Nothobranchius furzeri: one gene and its partners. The protein of the gene in region 4 purifies or fractionates together with the protein of the main gene of each other region. This does not show direct contact. Links are inferred from orthologs where the notes say so. Each region holds a gene or a part of one and is shown on either strand. Other genes may lie near its edges. The genes, in order: stk40, ep300a, cop1 and protein c-Fos.

The links.
Region 1: the proteins of protein c-Fos (region 4) and stk40 purify together in Homo sapiens (affinity purification with mass spectrometry; 3 studies listed by BioGRID and IntAct, counting the BioPlex papers as one, with this or other methods). This does not show direct contact. The link is inferred for Nothobranchius furzeri from reciprocal best matches to the Homo sapiens genes FOS and STK40.
Region 2: the proteins of protein c-Fos (region 4) and ep300a purify together in Homo sapiens (affinity purification with western blotting; 3 studies listed by BioGRID and IntAct, with this or other methods). This does not show direct contact. The link is inferred for Nothobranchius furzeri from reciprocal best matches to the Homo sapiens genes FOS and EP300.
Region 3: the proteins of protein c-Fos (region 4) and cop1 purify together in Homo sapiens (affinity purification with mass spectrometry; 4 studies listed by BioGRID and IntAct, counting the BioPlex papers as one, with this or other methods). This does not show direct contact. The link is inferred for Nothobranchius furzeri from reciprocal best matches to the Homo sapiens genes FOS and COP1.

What each region holds. Positions count from the first base shown.
Region 1 is NC_091745.1:70,998,681-71,003,005, forward strand, and holds part of stk40 (serine/threonine-protein kinase 40), read right to left. Parts: intron 4,236-4,325; exon of another isoform or gene 4,114-4,235; intron 2,039-4,113; exon of another isoform or gene 1,835-2,038; coding exon of another isoform or gene 1,727-1,834; intron 1,089-1,726; coding exon 965-1,088; intron 590-964; coding exon 504-589; intron 1-503. UniProt on the Homo sapiens protein: May be a negative regulator of NF-kappa-B and p53-mediated gene transcription.
Region 2 is NC_091756.1:27,956,455-27,960,779, reverse strand, and holds part of ep300a (histone acetyltransferase p300), read left to right. Parts: intron 1-904; coding exon 905-1,055; intron 1,056-1,141; coding exon 1,142-1,288; intron 1,289-1,392; coding exon 1,393-1,506; intron 1,507-1,631; coding exon 1,632-1,797; intron 1,798-1,892; coding exon 1,893-2,060; intron 2,061-2,207; coding exon 2,208-2,369; intron 2,370-3,674; coding exon 3,675-3,956; intron 3,957-4,046; coding exon 4,047-4,325. UniProt on the Homo sapiens protein: Functions as a histone acetyltransferase and regulates transcription via chromatin remodeling. Acetylates all four core histones in nucleosomes. Histone acetylation gives an epigenetic tag for transcriptional activation.
Region 3 is NC_091751.1:60,897,551-60,902,410, forward strand, and holds the start of cop1 (E3 ubiquitin-protein ligase COP1), read left to right. Parts: upstream 1-1,406; 5' UTR 1,407-1,639; coding exon 1,640-1,962; intron 1,963-2,037; coding exon 2,038-2,097; intron 2,098-2,780; coding exon 2,781-2,878; intron 2,879-3,778; coding exon 3,779-3,843; intron 3,844-3,964; coding exon 3,965-4,084; intron 4,085-4,860. UniProt on the Homo sapiens protein: E3 ubiquitin-protein ligase that mediates ubiquitination and subsequent proteasomal degradation of target proteins.
Region 4 is NC_091742.1:2,309,188-2,314,010, forward strand, and holds protein c-Fos, read left to right. Parts: upstream 1-1,616; 5' UTR 1,617-1,765; coding exon 1,766-1,900; intron 1,901-2,170; coding exon 2,171-2,389; intron 2,390-2,478; coding exon 2,479-2,586; intron 2,587-2,702; coding exon 2,703-3,353; 3' UTR 3,354-3,831; downstream 3,832-4,823. UniProt on the Homo sapiens protein: Nuclear phosphoprotein which forms a tight but non-covalently linked complex with the JUN/AP-1 transcription factor. In the heterodimer, FOS and JUN/AP-1 basic regions each seems to interact with symmetrical DNA half sites.

The DNA of each region.
Region 1 (4,325 bases), on a different chromosome or scaffold from region 4:
CGTCTTGGCCGTTTGTCGGCTTTTAGTAACGTTTGCTTTTCTGCAAGTGTGCTCATGACGTTAGCGTGTCCTGCTAGAGCGAGACATCGTGCAGTTTGGTTCGGTGTCATCTTGGACCGTGCACTGTGCCTCGTGGCGTGAAACAGTCATGTGCAACAGCTGAAAAGCACAGTGTGCCCCGGGCTTCACCACCCAAATGGTGATTTTGGAGAGGACGTCCAGGTGAACGGCTTTCCTTTCCTTCTTTATCCTCTCACCCTACTTTAGAGCCCCCCCGAGTTGTTAGAAAAGCATCAGATGATCCTAGTAAAGATGCTTCCAGGCTCACATTCTGCTGTGAAAGACGGGCAATAAAACGAACACCAAAGAAAGGTCAAAGGTTCGAGGATCTTCTGAGACATTACTGCTTTGACTCTGCATCGCCTGTTGAGGTTTAAGCGACTGTGTGAACAAAAGTGAAACAGCGATCGCAGCAAAGAACGCACAGACTCCGACAGACTTACTTTCAGCTGATAGAAGTCGTCTGTGCCGTCTTTTCTGGCCAAACACTGAACTATGCTCGGCACCGGTGAGTTGCCCAGGCGAGGTCCTGCAAGGGTAAGGAAAAGAACAGCTGTGTAAGCAAAAGAGCATGTGCTCTCACTGTAACTCATTAAGGGCTCCATGTGCGTGTGCCCATCAACACCCAACGTGTAACGTTGCCTTTGGCACCAAATGCTGCAAATAGCTTAGGCACAGAAAAACAAACAGGCAACGAGAAAGAATGGAGGAAGAAAAGTTGTTCCAACTCAGACTTGGGCCTTTCTGGCCAATGTCATGGGGATCAGCAAAATTCCTCAAATTCTTGTCCCAGGCGGGAGTAGGTAAGCCCTCCGCAGCTCACAGTTCTCCCGAGTTTTCTGCAAATAAATGCTGCCACTTCTTCTGAACACTTTGGGTAAAACGTGGTAATAAAATCCCATACCAAGGATGAAGGGGCCAGCTCTCTTGGCATTACTGCCATTTATCCCGGGACACTGCAGCTGGCTGGCCCTCGACGTCTCTCCAGCTCCCCTCTCTGACGAGCGCCGCTTGGACATCCTGGAGCTCTACGAGGAAACAAATCTGATTAGTTTGTGGGCTAAAGATAGTCAAGTAAGAGGGAAAACACACACCTGGTGGTAAAGACACATTCTAAAAGGTAGATCGTAACACTTTGTGTCATAAAGTCTAGAATCTAGACGGTAATTTAAGAAAAACGGCATTAATGAAGAATTAAGAGCGAACGTAGAGCTTCAGCAGAGGTCACGCAGGCTGGTCATGAGTAAAGAGAGTTCAGGGCAGCTCCTGCCCCCTCCACACACATTTACACACCTCAATGCTAAAGCAAACCCATTAAGGTTCCATTTAAAATAATGGCGGTTGGTGTCAAGGGCAACACCTCAGATTCAATCTCCATAAAAGCACAAAACGAGCCAAACAGAAGTCTTCATGGTTGGTCTCTTTAATCCTGCAGCGGTGGACTTGGGTTTAGAAAATCCCTGGATTTTTAATCTGCACAGCCGGCTTATCTATACAGACCTCACTTTAAAAGGGAGTGCATGTTTTACCAAGGCAGAAATGTAAAATATAAAAGAAAAGCCACCAGGTTTGTGGGCAGGGCGATAAGGAAGCAGGGTTGTGCATGCCAGTGAGTGTGACACATCGCTGTTAAGCTACTTTAACCGACCGAGCCGATCTCCTTTACCTTCCTGAAGCCAGCGAGTGAGAGGTGTGCATTCTTTTCAGCTGATACCGAACGTCTGTGTGATGAAACACCATCTGTTTCTCGTAATGAGGAAGTAGAGCCACACATCGAGAGGAATGAGCCACCCTGCAGTCATCCCAAGTTTTCACTGGATGGAAATATTTAAATGTCTGGGTGACAACCAATCAAGGTGTCTCCAAACCTCTAACATGTGCGAGTATCTGGTGATGCCATTTGTATAACGTTACAGGGGAGGCGGTACGACATATTGACCCTTTGCACGTGACATCAGGCTGCTCTTCATGGGACCACCCCCTTAAACATGGCGGACAGTAAAAAGACTGTTCACACATGTTGAAACTTCATTGAAGCTAGTCAAAACAAACCAGTTTGTGGCTTTTATTGCTTTCATTTAGTTGTTTTCACAGTAAAATGGTAATAGCTGCTGTGCAGTTGGCAGAACTAGCAGACAAAGTCGGCCCACAAGTGAACTGGGCTTGAACTAGATGAAGCCATACTAAACATTGTTTTGCTCACTGTTTACTGTGCCTTTGCCATCTGATATGGCAGACCCATGTGATCAGGTGACGTTGGAGAAAAAGGATACTGAAAGCCATGAGATATTTGAGGCTGGACTTAATCGGAATATCAGGCCAGATGCTTCCAAGATAGCCTGGCCTGCTAGACTCGTCCTCTGTTTAAATCTGCACAGAGAAGAGAGTCTGGTAACTCACAGGCAGAGAGGCGCATGAGGGGCGGGACTAGGCAGCTCAAAAGTAACCAATCAGAAAAAAAGACTGAAATCCCGACCATATCGCACGGCGCTGTAGTTTTCTAGCTGTAGTAAAAAAAAAAACAGCGTCTAACAACGGTGCAAACATCTTTTATTTCTTTTTAGAAGAAAGGCTTTTAGCGCCTCTAATTGTGGTTTTAGAGACATTCAAGTCATTTAGAACAGAGGAAAGAGCTGCAGCGAACTCCGCTGCTGTCTTTATTGTTTATGAGGAACTGAGCGTCGCTGTGTGTGACGTCCGGGACCCTGTAGTTGTTTAGCTGTAGTTAAAATGGAGTCTGGGGACAGCGCAAACATCTTTCTTTAGAAGAAAGACTTTTAGCGCGTCTACTTGTTGTGTCCAAGTCATTGAGAACAGGGGAAAGAGGCGCAGCGAACTCCGCTTCAGTCGCCATGTTCGACAAACTCGGCGTTATGGTGTGTGTCGTATGCTACTCAGTGTTGATTGGCTCGGTTAGAATTCTCACGAGGTGGGGTTATTTGAACAGGAGAGTTGCCAGACCCTTTCTCTGTGCAGAATTAAACAGAGGAGGAGTCTGGCAGGCCAGGCTACTTCCAAGACACATCCAGAGTTATCGTGAGATCTCGTGGTTCCGTCACAATGAAAGCAGTCAGAACCGCTGCCACCTAGCAGTCGGAGTTTGAATTATACCAAACAAAAGAAACACAGTAAATAAGGGCATGTATATTCTCCGTTAGAAAACAAACACAGTGCTTTTAAATTTTGCTTTGGTATCATAACACAATATCGTTAACTCATTCACTGCCAGCCGTTTCCTGATCGCTAACGGCCTTCGCTGCCAGCGTTTCTCACCGTTTTACTGTTTTTTTAAGAGTCACAGAACGTTGCGTGCTAGCATGATGTCAACGCCAAAACAACCAAAACAAAGCGGAGACTAGGGCTGTCGCGGTTGAGGAATTCCCCCTGCAGTGAGTCAGGGCAGCTCAATATTGCGGTATGCGATATTATTGCACCCCGTTTTTATTTATGTACTTAGCAAATTTGTTTGTTAATTACTAAACTCATGGCAATATTTCCTTTGAAACATTGTGCTTACACATTTAAAAAATGTTAGAAAAAATACATGGCCATTTTTGACACTTTATTAAATGCAGATCGAAGGGCAGTAACGGCATTCTCTGACTGAACTTAAAAACAACATTCAGGAGGTTTAACTTTGAAATGCAAATTTGGCTTCAACATCTAACAAAATGAGATGTCCCAGGCACAGTCAGTTCACTTTCACACACAAGAATAACGCCGGGGACACACCGGCCGCGGAAGCGCCGAGAAGCGAATCGCTCACGAAATTCGTTCGCTGCTCGCCGTTTCTCAGTTCAGATCAGACGCTTAGAATAGCTTAACAAGGGCACCGAATGAAGGCGGTCCCATTTTCGCGGCGCTTCCGCGGCCGGTGTGTCCCCGGCGTAACTGTGATTTATAACTCGGTCATGTCCTTGTTACGCGCAAGGACCACCAGCATGTTAACCTTATGCGGTTTGAGAGAGGATCTGAGAGTGGTGACAACATTTCCAGCGACACTAAAAACCCTCTCGGATGGTGCGCTTGTTGCGCAAATACACATGTACTTACATGCGACTTTGGAGAGCAATGGAAATCTCTCGTGGTTGTTGCGCCACCATGTCAGAGGGTTTTCATTAGGGTCAATGGGTTCCTCCTGCAGGTAGCGAGTGAGCTCCAGCTCGGCTCTAACTCTCTTCGGGACAGTTGCAGAAGACGTCCTTGTCCGTGACTTCAGCAGGTCTCTAAGCGTTTTTTTCTTTGCCGCTGGTGGCAGCACTGCC
Region 2 (4,325 bases), on a different chromosome or scaffold from region 4:
GCTTTCTCTTCCTAACTTTTACAGACGCAGCAACTCTACAGGTGTTTAGTAGAAAACAGTTACTCTGCTGCTGACCGTCATGTGTCGAGCCATCCCTGTCGCTGAAATATAAAGGATTAAAGGATTTAAAATATGAGTGGCAAGGCTTCTTTTACTTTTATTCTTAATATTAACGTGTTTCTTATTAATGTGCTTCCTAAACAAGTGATGTTTTATAGCAAATAAAACAAAAGACAAATACAGAAAGAAAGAAACGCATTAATGATTAAAAAACTTAAAGGACAACTCTAGTGTCTTTTTTTTCTTTATGCATTTCTAAATAATCTGATCATGACTTGGTATCGGCAGATTCTCAAAATCAAATGACTCTGAATCGGATCGGGAGCATTAACACGTGATCAATTTTAGGTAAAGATCGAATTGCAAGTTTTCTGGCAGAAATTGCAATTTCTATTTGATTCATGATTTTCTTCAAATTGAGGTCCAGCACTTTCACAATGTACAGTAACATTAACAAATATGGCAGGAAATGACATCATGCCATGTAAACCTTAAAGGCTATTGCTCTAATAATGCAAGGAGGCAATCTGAAGGTAAGAACTGTTTTCAAATGTACAGAAACACACATGCAGAGCCCCCCACCCCCCACCCCCCCCACCCCCCACCCCCCGAATGTTTAGGAGATATTTTGAGATAAATGTATCTGTCACACAAAAGGACTGATTCCTGTACAGGCCTGTCCTGCTGACACAGATTTAACCAAGAACTGAAAACCTTCTCCTTTTGTAAAATTTGATTTACTAGAAAATTATGATTCAGGAAGTAAATTTTTCCAGATGGACAGGTTGTTAATGCTAGCAACAAAGCTAGCTGTTCTTACAGTTGTTGACTAACTGTCTCACAGGGTTGCCTCAGACGAGGCTGGGGAGTTTTCTGGAGACGAGGGTGAACGACTTCCTGAAGCGTCAGGCCCTTCCAGACTCTGGAGAGGTCTTCATTCGTGTTGTCCATGTCTCGGATAAAGTGGTGGAGGTGAAACCAGGCATGAAGTCCAGGTAGGAAACAAAAGACACATGGACAGTTTAACCTCCCACAACTGTTCTTGTTTGGATTTTAAGGTTATTGATGCTTTTGTCTCCAGGTTTGTGGACAGCGGAGAGATGTCCGAGTCTTTCCCCTACAGGACAAAGGCACTTTTTGCATTTGAAGACATTGACGGCGTGGATGTTTGCTTTTTTGGGATGCATGTCCAGGAGTACGGATCAGACTGCCCTCAGCCCAACCAGCGGTAAACATGACGGGCTTTTCAAACAAAAACACTGCAGCTTCTCCTCTTTAAATATACATAAGCAACAGTTTATTAGCCTTGAACCCTTTGTTCTGTCCTCTCAGGCGAGTATACATTTCCTACCTGGACAGTGTACACTTTTTCCGGCCTCGCAGTCTAAGAACAGCAGTTTACCATGAAATCCTCATTGGCTACTTGGAGTACGCCAAGAAGTTGGGGTGAGTCCTGAGACCAGACTAGTGTTCAGCACTTCTCCGGCTGGGAAAATTATAGTAATGTTTTCATTTAGACGTCTCATTTTCTCGTTAGTAAATACGTTTTGGTCCCTTTTCTGTGTCCTTAGCTACACCACTGGTCACATCTGGGCTTGCCCACCCAGCGAGGGTGATGACTACATCTTTCACTGCCATCCAGCAGATCAGAAAATTCCCAAACCCAAACGCCTTCAGGAGTGGTACAAGAAGATGTTAGACAAGGCTGTGGCTGAGAGGATCGTGCACGACTACAAGGTAAATGCTCTTTTTTAGCAGCGTTTATTAACCATGCTTAAAATGACTCTTGATTAGTGCAAAACCCTAATTTACCTCTGTACTCACCCTGAAAGGATATCTTCAAACAAGCGACGGAGGATCGTTTAACAAGTGCCAAGGAATTGCCTTACTTTGAGGGTGACTTCTGGCCCAACGTGCTGGAGGAGAGCATTAAAGAGCTGGAGCAGGAGGAGGAGGAGAGGAAAAGGGAAGAAAACAGCACTTCTAACGAGAGCATTGATGTAAGACTGAGTCCTTGTTCATCACCTCTGATCCTACGTGTGTTTTATACTTAAGAACGGCCTAAAAATAAGGCTGGCACTGTAGCTTGTTGTTTAGACGATCACTGATTTATTTTCTTTTTTTCCCCAAAACACTTTTATGTGCAGGACACAAAGAGTGACAGCAAAAATGCTAAGAAGAAGAACAACAAAAAGACGAGTAAGAACAAGGGCAGCTTGAGCAGATCTAATAAGAAGAAGCCGGGGATGCCCAACGTCTCTAATGACCTTTCTCAGAAACTTTATGCTACTATGGAAAAACACAAAGAGGTAGGAGCAGAGGAATATGCACAAGATGTCTCCTGGTTCTGCTTTTTTCTTTGTGTCCTAAATGTTTCAGAGCAGCAAACACATTTAGTTTGTAGTTTTCCCTGTAATCAGAAGGTTGCAGGTTCAAACCCAGGCTCTCAGTTATGTTCAATTCAAGTTTATTTATGTAGCGCCAAATCACGACAAGAGTCGTCTCAGGGCACTTCACATGGTAAACATTCCAGTACAGGTCAGTTCATTAAGCCAATCAGAAATAATGTTTCCTATATAAGGAACCCAGCAAATTGCATCAAGTGGCTAACTGGTGTCAGTGACTTTACAGCAATCCTCATACTAAGCAAGCGTTTAGCGACAGTGGAGAGGAAAACTCCCTTTTAACAGGAGGAAACCTCCAGAGGATCCTGGCTCTGTATAAGCAGCCATCCTCCACGACTCACTGGGGATGGAGAAGACAGATGTTGATATAGAGCAACAGATGTTGTATCCATGAGCAAGATACTTAACCCTCCTTGCCTGCTGGTGGTCAGAGGAATTGGTGGCATCTGCCTCGTCTCCATCAGAGCACCAGCGTGTAAATGTATGGAGCGCTTTGGAGTTCTCAGACTCAGAAAGGCGCTTTACAAATGTAGGGTTGGGAATGATTTGAATTTGAACAATTCCGGTTCCTCGTTTCGATTCCGGTTCCTATCGATTCCCGATTCTGATTCTTTCAAGAGTAGGGTTGGACATTGATCGGAATGAAGGCTATCAGTTTTTCCTGGAATCGTTCAAATTTTAAAATTTTGATTCCTAGATTCCATTTCCAGTCCACGCTGTGTTTGACTGCTGTTGCTGTGTGTGTTTTTATTTCTGCGGTGAGCCTTAAAAACTCGCCTCACTTTGCCCAGAGTTTGTTCTTTAAAACCGGGTCTCTGCAGGCTGCAAAGTAGGAGCGACAGACGTGGTATGATCGGCTCTGAAAGGCGTTGATCAGATTTTTCAGATCACGTTATTTTTTTTACGAAAATCAGCCTCAGATTCTTCTTCTGGTCTGGGACTGGGAATTGAAACAGAATTGAAATGACAAAATTTGAACAATTCTGGGAACAACTGACAGTTACTCCTGGTTCCAATCGATGCTAGATGCCCAACCCTATACCAGTGTTGGATGTTCATCGCGTTTAGTCCGATACTGAATTATTTGCTGATCTGAAGTATTTAAAGCAAAAGAGAGAAAATAGAATAAGCCTGTATTTATACACTTGTTCTTGCATAACTCCATTTAAAAGGTCAACTGTCTGCTCTGCCTTTGTCTTCCTCCTCTAGGTGTTCTTTGTGATCCGGCTAATTGCCGGCCCCATGGCGAATGCCTTGCCCCCAATTATCGACCCAGATCCCCTGATGGCGTGTGACCTCATGGATGGTCGTGATGCTTTTTTGACTCTGGCCCGGGACAAACACCTGGAGTTCAGCTCTCTGAGGCGGGCTAAGTGGAGCTCCATGTGCATGCTGGTGGAGCTGCATAACCAAAGTCAGGACCGCTTTGTTTACACCTGCAATGAATGCAAGCACCATGTGGAGACTCGCTTCCACTGTACCGTTTGTGAGGTAAGTCTGTCTGTGATGTCTCAGAGCTGGTTGTAAACATTGTCGTACTTTCATCAGACTTACTCTGCTGCTCATGCCCCTCTGTTGCAGGATTACGACCTCTGCATCACGTGCTACAACACTAAGGGCCACGAGCACAAGATGGACAAGCTAGGGCTCGGTTTGGACGATGAAAGCAGCAACCAGGCTGCTGCGACCACTCAGAGCCCCGGAGACTCACGTCGCCTAAGCATCCAGCGCTGCATCCAGTCTCTGGTCCACGCGTGCCAGTGCAGGAACGCAAACTGCTCTCTGCCATCATGTCAGAAGATGAAGCGTGTCGTTCAGCACACAAAAGGTTGCAAGAGAAAAACCAACGGCGGCTGTCCC
Region 3 (4,860 bases), on a different chromosome or scaffold from region 4:
TGTGTTTTATTTGCAGAGCTGCAGGTGGATGCCTGAAAGACACAACTCTGTGTATCTTGGCTTAATCACTGATTCTTGGAGTGACCAAGTAAAAGCAACTAAAATATGAGCCTCTGAATAAAATCTAGATTTGAAAGGATCAAAAAATGTAAAATGAAGTAAATATGGTTTTGTTGATATTAAATTTACAATTTAATATTTTAGGGGGGGAAATGGATGCATGGATATTTTAATCTTGCTTCTGCCTGCATTATGAATATCAACCTTGTTCTATATTCATGGTTATATGATATTACTAATTTAGTTTTAGAAAATGAAAACGGAAAACCTAAAGACGTATCAATGGAACTCATGAACACACACACACACATGTCTGTCTTTCTATCATAGTGAGGACTTTCCATTGACTTCCATTCATTTTTGTGACTCCACTATGCCTAACCCATACCCATACCCTACCCATAACCAATGCTGAGCTATTGCTAACCCTATAACAACTTAATTCACACCATATCTCTAAAACCCGCTGGTAAGCTTTTTTAAAAAATGAGGACCAGAAAAATGTCCTCACTTATAGGGAAAATTGTGAAAATGGTGTTCAGTAATTCCCCTCAAGAAATCACATCACTCATGTTCTTAAAAACCTACACTGGTTGCCAATAGGATCATATGCAAGATCCTACTACTTACATTTAAATCTGCATGGCTCCACTTTATCTATGTAATTTACTAACTATTGCTACCACTTCCCGATCTCTTAGATCCTCATCTGCACTTCATCTGGTTCAACCTCGAGCTCGCCTTACCACCATGGGGAGCAGAGCTTTCAGTTGCTCTGCTCCACGGCTCTGGGACTCACTTCCCTCTGTCATTAGAAATACGGACCCTTTTCCATTATTCAAGGGGCACACCTGAAAACCCACTTATTCAAACAAGTTTATTCCCTTTAGACCTAGACTTTAGAATTGTTTCAAAATTGTATGTATCTTGTTTGTTTTTATTGCCCTATCTAACCTCTGTTGTTTTTTGTTTTTATCTTTGTAAGGTTACCTTGGGTTTGAGAAAGGCGCCCTCAAATAAAATGTATTATTATTATTATTATTATTATTATTATTATTATTATTATTCAGTATGTAGTAAGTACTAGAAAACACACACACACACACACACACACACACACACGTGCGCGCGCGCGCGCCGTTGGCGAAATGCATCCTCTAATTGCACAAACTCCTCTCCGCTAGAGAGCGGTAATTGAAAACACGGGGCAAAGTGGGGATCCTTCTCTGCAGTTAACAGGAGAAGAAGAAGAAGCTAACGGGAACTAGCAGGCTAATCTCCACAACGCTGTCGTGGTTTTGTGATTCCCTGTTTCAGTATTCGTGTTTTTTTTCCCTCACATATTTTTGTGTTTTATAACTTGGTAACCTAACTATACCCAAGTGACAAGCGCCCGACAAACACCGGTGGACACGGTTTACAGTAGCTCTGTATGAGCACTTCTGCTTTTCTCCCAGGATACTAGCGTATCACCAAGGCAGCTAAGTCGGCTAAAGGAGCCCAACAACAGCGCTGTCCGGATGCTTTGAACAGCAACGGAGCCGATTTTTGGTGGAGTTTTCAAAGCCGGTCTTGCGTGATGTCAAGCAACCGGCCGCAGTCAAACAGTGGCGGGGCAAGTTCGGTGCCTAGCACCAGCAGCAGTAGCGCAGGAGGCAGCGGGAGCACCACCGTAACAAGTAATGGTAACTCTTCTGGGAACGTTGTACCCTCCCGGGCTATAGCAGCCGGCGAGAGCGGCTTGTCTGTACCAACTCTGTCCGCCGTTTCGTCCCGGGGCGAGTTCTCTTCCCTCAGCAGACCATCTTCAACCTCGGGAAGCAGGAAGAGATCCCTCCATCCAACACCTTTATACAACGGCCTGTTGGATTCATACGAAGATAAAAGCAATGACTTTGTCTGGTGAGCTCTCTGTCAGCTAACCGAGACTGTGCTGTGAAAGCTGAGTTTCTGATTCATATTTGTCTTTTCTTTTAGCCCAATTTGCTTTGAAATGATAGAGGGGGCGCACATGACAAAGTGTGGCCACAGTTTCTGGTGAGTGTGGAGCTGCAGCTCGGGTTGAATTGAATGAAACACCTTAGAAACACTATTCACTCACAGATAGTGGCTGTTATTCATGTTGTTTACAGTTAGGAGTCCGTTTGAACGGCGAATCTACTAGTTTTTAGTTATTAAAACTAACATTTTACATTCGTTTTCGCAAAAACTGTTAGTAAGGTGATTCTAATGAAATGCCCATCAAATAGATGGAATAGGTCAGTTTAAAACTAAATGAATGCAATCCTTATTTAACAAGTAAAGATCCTTGAGATTTAAAATGCCGTCTGCCAGAGTTACCTGGCCCAGACAGGCAGCGGCAGGTGATTGAATGTTTAAAAAATGTTGAAAAACCAGTTTGAATTCTGTCAGTGAGACATATTCTTTCAGATTGAGTCAGTTTTGGAGCTAATTCCTATAATAAAGGGCAGAATGTTTGAGTAGCTTAAAGGGGAACAAGTCGTGTCCACACCTTTGGTTTGTTTGGGGGGATCTGAGTATAATCGGAGAAAACCAAGAGTATTTTTTGAAGTGAGAAAACAAATACAATTATCAGTTGTATTGGAAAGGTCAGATTTTTTGCGGCAGACACTAGAGGGTGAGTTTTTTTTCATTCCGTGATTTTTAGAACAGACTTGTGTTTATTTCTGTGTTAAATGCTCCCCTTTCCCCTGTTGCAGTTTCAAGTGTATTCACAGGAGCTTGGAGGTCAGCAACAAGTGTCCCAAGTGTAACTGTATTATTGACAATGTGGCTCAGCTGTACCCCAACTTTCTAGGTGGGTGTTTTAAGTTGGATGGTTGTTTTTACAGTCATCATTTTGAGAATTTAGCTAGTTTCGTTTTAAAATAGGGTTGGGCATCGACTGGAACCGGGACCAACTGTTAGCTTTTTTTGGAATCGTTCAAAGTTTTTATTTTGATTCCTAGTAAGCCGACCGGAAGATGACACCAACACTCGTGTGTGTGTGAGCGTCAGAAGGCTGAACAATAACCTGTAAAGTCATCGTGCTAGAGCAGCTTTCTCTGTGGTGGACCACACCAGCTTCTGCCACAATAAATAATAATAATAAATCACATACAAAGTTGTGAAATTTCCTTTCTGAACTATTTCTGTTGAGAGTTTTAATGTTTAAATCTGTTAGATTGTTACTGACAGCAGCTGCATTTAAGTTTCACTTTCTGTTGTGACTGAATGCTGCTGCAGCATGGAGGTGTAGTTCTCAGTCATCCTGGACATGATCATCCTGAGAGTTTTAGCTGAAAACAGTTGCACGTTTCTGGATATGTTGGAGACATTTAGCCTCTCATCCCAGAGGCTGCTTCCAGACTTTGGTTGTGGTCAGAAACAAACACACTGGTTGTGCTGCAAGTCTTTTTCTTTTTTTCTCCAAAACATGTTTTGGTCTAAATGAAGGTGATGCTGTTGTTCATAGAATTAAAATTCATGTTGAAGTTAAGATTGTTTCATCAAGTAGGACCTGTGGTTAGCTGGCTCATGTAAAGCATGTCATGTCTTGAAAGAATCGGAATCGGGAATCAATAGGAACCAGAATCGTTCAAAATCAAACGATGCCCAACTCTAAAAATGTGATCAAGTCGGTGTTATCCTGCTCAAAGAAGGAGCTTATGTTGTTTCTCCTTGTCGCCCTCACTCTGCCTCTGCTGCCGTTTCCCAGTAAATGAGCTGATTCTTAAACAGAAACAACGGTCAGAGGAGAAGAGACTGAAATTAGATCATCCGGTGAGTGGTTCACATTTTATTCCTGCTTTGTCTTTTCCTTCTTTGTGACTCTCAAACTTGCAGACTTGTTTGTTTTAGAAAAATCTGTTTCTTCCTGCTGATCATTGTTTTCGACCCCTAGAACGGGCCGCAGTGGCAGGTCTTTCAGGATATTTTGAATCCGGATCAGGAGAACCTGGACCTTGCAAATGTCAATCTGATGTTGGAACTTCTGGTTCAGAAGAAGAAGCAGCTGGAAGCGGTAAGTCATTTTGTGCGTGTCTGCGAAGATGATTGTAAGAGTCATTTGTAGCCCATTCCTCGTTACCCTTAGCTAAGCAAGGAAGTGTGTTCCGAGTATAGAATTGGCACATGTGGCTGCAGAAATAATGTGCAGGCTTAGAATGAAATGCATAAAGGTTACTGCAGTAGAGGGAGAAGGTCAGATGTGAGGGTAGGAGATGTTCTCAGAAGAGTTGGGGCTTTAAGAGTTTCCTGGAGAGAGACATGGATGCCCCTGTTCTGGTTGAGTGACATGGGTCACGCCATCATCACGGAACGACACACCAAAAAAGTCAGAGTTGTCTTGAGTGTGACATCAGCACCCCTAGTCAATAACCCTCTAGTGACTGGAGTTTTGACATAAACTCCATTACCTGTTCTGTGATGAGACTTCTTGCATCCTGGATTAGATTAGGGCTGGACAATAATTCAATAACGATAAATATCCATCAATAGACGTGTGGTTAAATAGGAAAAAATGGATCAACAAAAACTTCAATGAAAGTTTCCTTTTTCCATCATAGCCTATTGGATAGCTTTATACTAGAGTCATTACTTAACCTAACCAATCAAAAACACAGACCCGAGCACGCTCCGTCACCAAGCCCTCCCCTCTGAAACCTAAACAGACAGCAAAACTTAAACAAGATGTTGCAGCAAGGAGAGGTGGAAGAAATTGTCCCGAAAAAGTGCTACAGTACTTCACCAGTGTGGCAATATTTTTATTCTTACAAGTAGGGATGCACCGATCAGGTT
Region 4 (4,823 bases):
ACGTTTTGCGTGCATTGCTTTTAAAATGTGTGCGTTCGTTTCTCGGGGCAACAGTGTCAGGTTTCACTATTGAAGTGGTAACTCTGGCAAAAACCAATGATCTTTGCGGCCACATGCAAAAATGTTCACGTCAAGGGGTTGGCCGTTGCTAGGGCAACCAGGAATGTGCACCAAAACATGAGCGCGGTAAACGAAACTAATCTGCTGCTGTTTGACACAATAACACCGTTTTGAACTCGTTATTAATGACATTTCAGATTAATAATAGTTTTATATTTTCAATACATTGAAAGTCAGTTATTTCTGTTGTGGTTTTTACATAATGTGAATATTTTTGCACTTAAAATGTCATTTCTAATGCTAAAATAGGAATTAATGATTTCATTTGGAATTAAAGGCAAAATCTCATTTGTTTAGAGCAAAAATCCTCACATCCCCGTTCTGAAACGCAGGAAAAAACTGTGGTATTTATGTGAAGAAAAATACATTTTTACAAATTATGATGAACAATAAACTTAAAATTTGGTCTGGGTGGTGACTCGGTTCAGCTCTGCACGTTGCCAGGTGTCAAAAAGCGAGATACTTGAGGATTCCCTCTTTACAGGTGCAGTCTGCTTTCGATGAAAGCACACACACACACACACACACACGCACGCACGCACGCACACACACACACACACACACACACACCTAAACTTCCTTTGACGTATGTTTAGCCCTCTTTAGCCTTCCACCCATAGGCTTGGCACTTTTGAACAACCTCAGGAAATGAAATATTTCTTTAATAAAAATCCGTTCCTGCAAGATAATTAGGCTCTTTTTTAAACAATTTATTGGGTATTTTACCCTCTTCCAAAATCCAAAACAGCTCTTTGAGATGTTAACACAACATTTGATAGCAAACACTGTACAATCACTTGTTAGCACATTTAGAAAGTATAAAACTGCTCAGAATGATTTTCAAATATTTGATTATGTTTAACTTCACAGATTTTTAGCAAAAAAGTGATGTGAAGAAAGCTGCACGTGCTTTCTGATAGTAGATCATGTTTATATATATATATATATATATATATATATATATATATATATATATATATATATATATATATATATATTTTAGATGGGTTGCTTATGAAAACATGGATTGTGGTTATTTTAGTTTTGAACCAAACTAAAAATCTGCTTTTTCTACTTGTAGTGAAAACTATTCCGTTAGCTATGATTGTAGTTTACTCACAACAGCCTCTGTGTTTGTAGTTTTACATAACGCCAGGCTGCTGCCGCTCAGACGCTCAGATGGTGTTTCCCATCAAGATCCGCCCACCTCGCAGGAGGATGCACCATATATGGTAAACTACGTATCGGGGATTCCTTGATCTGGAATATTCCACTTATTGGTCGCTGGCTTTAAAAACAGACACGTTCTCGTCGTAGAGAGGTTGACAACACGCTTCTTGGTGATAAGCTTGTCGTATTTAGCGTGTTGGGTTTTTGGCTGCGTTGTTATGCTAGTGTTTATGGTTTCCTCCTGCCGGTTTCAGGTTGAAGACACGCCCCCAGTCGACGTCACGGCCTGGTGTATAAAACCGCTCCGAGATGCCGGAGTTGGCAGATGAAGTTTGAGCAGCAGAGCAGCGACTAAAGGAGTACGATCCACAGGAGCGCTTCCAAACCTGCAAAAGGGATTTCCTCGTCTCCCGTTTACATTCCCCTGAAGTAGTTTGTTTGGATCTCCCGAGCTTCTTTTTAGCGCTTTGAAAGGATGATGTTCACCGCTTTCAACACGGAGTGCGACTCTTCCTCCCGGTGCAGCACCGCGTCCCCGTGCGGGGACAATCCTGGATACTACCCGTCACCGGCGGGGTCTTATTCCAGCATAGAATCTCCACAATCTCAGGTAAATACGCCATTTATGTTATTTTTTTCCCATAATGACTTAAAATAATTTTTTTTTAAAAGTTCGTGGGTGACAGAAATGTTGTGAAATAAAGGGGCAGTTAGTGATTCAATCATGCCATTTTCATGCATTCACCTGGAAACTCCATAGAGAGCATGTAACGTCACAGCTGACATCATAGGGATATTTTTAAATTGTCCAGTTTTTTATAGCAATATGCTGCTGCAACCCCCTCCTCAAACTAAACCACCTTTCACTTCTTCCCTGCAGGATTATACTGAACTGACAGCATCAAGTGCCTCCTTCATACCCACAGTCACAGCCATCTCCACAAGCCCTGATCTGCAGTGGATGGTGCAGCCTCTGGTCTCCTCCGTGGCCCCCTCTCACAGAGCTCACCCCTACAGCTCCAGCAGCCCCAGCCCAGCCTACACCAGCACAGCTATGAAGTCTGCATCCAAGGTTTCCAAGAGAGGCAGAGTGGAACAGGTGATTATCCTCTGCAATATTATGGATTAACTCAAAAGTGCATTACGGAGCAGGGATGTTAACTTTTCTGTTGCTTCTATGATGTGCAGTTGAGCATTGAGGAGGAGGAGAAAAGAAGAATTCGCAGAGAGAGAAACAAGCAGGCAGCAGCTAAATGCCGCAACAGGAGGCGAGAGCTTACAGACACCCTCCAAGCTGTAAGTATCCCGCCAGACTTTGCTTTCACTTATCAGAATGTTTTCACTGCCAGAGCTAATAGCAGTGCATTCCAGCAGCCGACTAAATGCCTCTTTTCCCCTCCTTCCCCTGGCAGGAAACTGATCAGCTGGAGGATGAGAAGTCTGTCCTGCAGAATGACATTGCCAACCTGCTGAAGGAGAAGGAGAGGCTTGAGTTCATTCTGGCCGCCCACCAGCCAATCTGCAAAATCCCCTCAGAGCTGGACACAGACTTCCACCTGTCTTCCATCTCTCCTGTCCACTCCTCCATCCCCTCTTCCCAGCCTGTAAAGTCCGCCGTCACTTCTAGTCAGCCAACTTTCACCTCAGCCTCCAATTCCCTCTTCTCCAGCAGCACCCCCATCCTCTCCACCACAACCATTTCCAACAGCACAGTCAAGATGACCGACCTGGACTCGTCTGTCCTGGAGGAGTCTCTCGACCTGCTGGCAAAGACGGAGATGGAGACGGCTCGTTCAGTCCCCGAGGTCGACCTGCCCAGCTCCCTTTACACAAGTCAGGACTGGGAGCCCCTCCACAGCTCAGCCAATAATGCTGACTTTGAGCCTCTGTGCACACCTGTCGTGACCTGCACTCCAGCATGCACCACCCACACGTCTTCATTCATGTTTACCTTCCCAGAGGCTGAGACCTTCCCCTCTTGTGGCGTCGCTCACAGGAGAGGAAGCAGCAGCAACGACCAGTCCTCCGACTCGCTCAACTCCCCAACCCTGCTGGCCCTTTAAGGACTCTTCCTGGATACATCGTTCTTCCTTAACAAGCACATTCTCCTCAGATATACGTGCACATCAAAGGGCAATAGCACAGACTTGTACATGGAAGCATAATTCTTAATGATTTTATCTGCCTTTATATACAAATATACTTGCCTATTACACCATGTAGCAAGTTAATAAGCATGTTTCAAACAATAGTCGTTCTATGAGTTCCTCTGATTATATGGTGCTAGATAACTAAACGTATTGTTTACTGATGTGTTTTAAGAGCAATACTTATTTATTTTCTGTTAAACTAGAGTAATTATGACATGTTTGTGATAAAAAGACAGGTGTGATTTTGTCTTAACCATGGTCTGAGTGGTCTTTAAAATATGAAGTTTTCTGTGAAAACATTTGTGCTTTTAATTTATGAGAGTTTTATTTTTTTACAAAGTATAAAAATGTTGTTATATATGTGAATAAAATTTAGCGATATTTAAATTCACTTCTTTTGTTTGTTGGACTTTTAATATTATTTATTTTATCAAGTATTTCCGCCCACGTGTCAAAGGACGTTATGATAATGCCCCAAATCGGCCTGAACAGGGATAGCGGTATTTTTCCTGCTCCTTCCTGCTCTATTTATTGTTCCGTCTGTTGCCAAGGTCTGCTGTACGTCAGGGCTGTGACGTCAGTGCGTTTTTTCCTTCTTTTTTTTTCAATTTGCAAATTATGCGCTGTTGCGTTACTTCCGTGCCCAAATACGGGGAGTCGCTGTTGCAGTCTGTGAGCAGAACCAGAACGGACGGTCGGACCCGATGGGTCGGACACAAAAGCGCACCAAAGGTTTCCTCTGAGCCGAGAGCAGCTGCTGGCATGTTCGCCGGAAGACGGAAAGAAAAGCTGTTGCCTTTATTCCGCAATCCAGGCCACATTGTTTCTCACGTCTCTACTGGCTACGACAGCTTCTGCAGACGAAATCACCAGACAGCAACGCTTCAACCACAAAGCTGTGTTTGGTTCTGCAAAGGAAGGTCTGAATGCGTCAAGATGCGTCTCTAAACGCAGCCAGACGCACGAAGAGCACGCTCGTCTCAGAAATAGACAACAATATGCACTTAATGCAGGAGACAATGCTCATTTCTATAAATGCATCTCTTTTGTGATATAAGTAACTTTACTCTTGATAAAATTACAAAAGACTTGCCTCTTGTGAGGATGCCCAACCCCAACTCCTACCTGCACATTAAAAGTGATTAATTACAAACTTCGTCATGCACACATAGACATATATCTCTATATAAACTATAGATATGTCTGATATATCTAGTTTTTATTGTACTAATGGGTGTTTTATAAAAGTAACTTTATACATTTGACCTCAAAGACCCCTTATGGGTTGAGGATGAAACCTCTGGTTTAACTGAAAATAATAATGTAAACAATGATCCTGATTTGTTTCTTTTAGGAATTTTAACTGGAGTTCACCAATAGGAC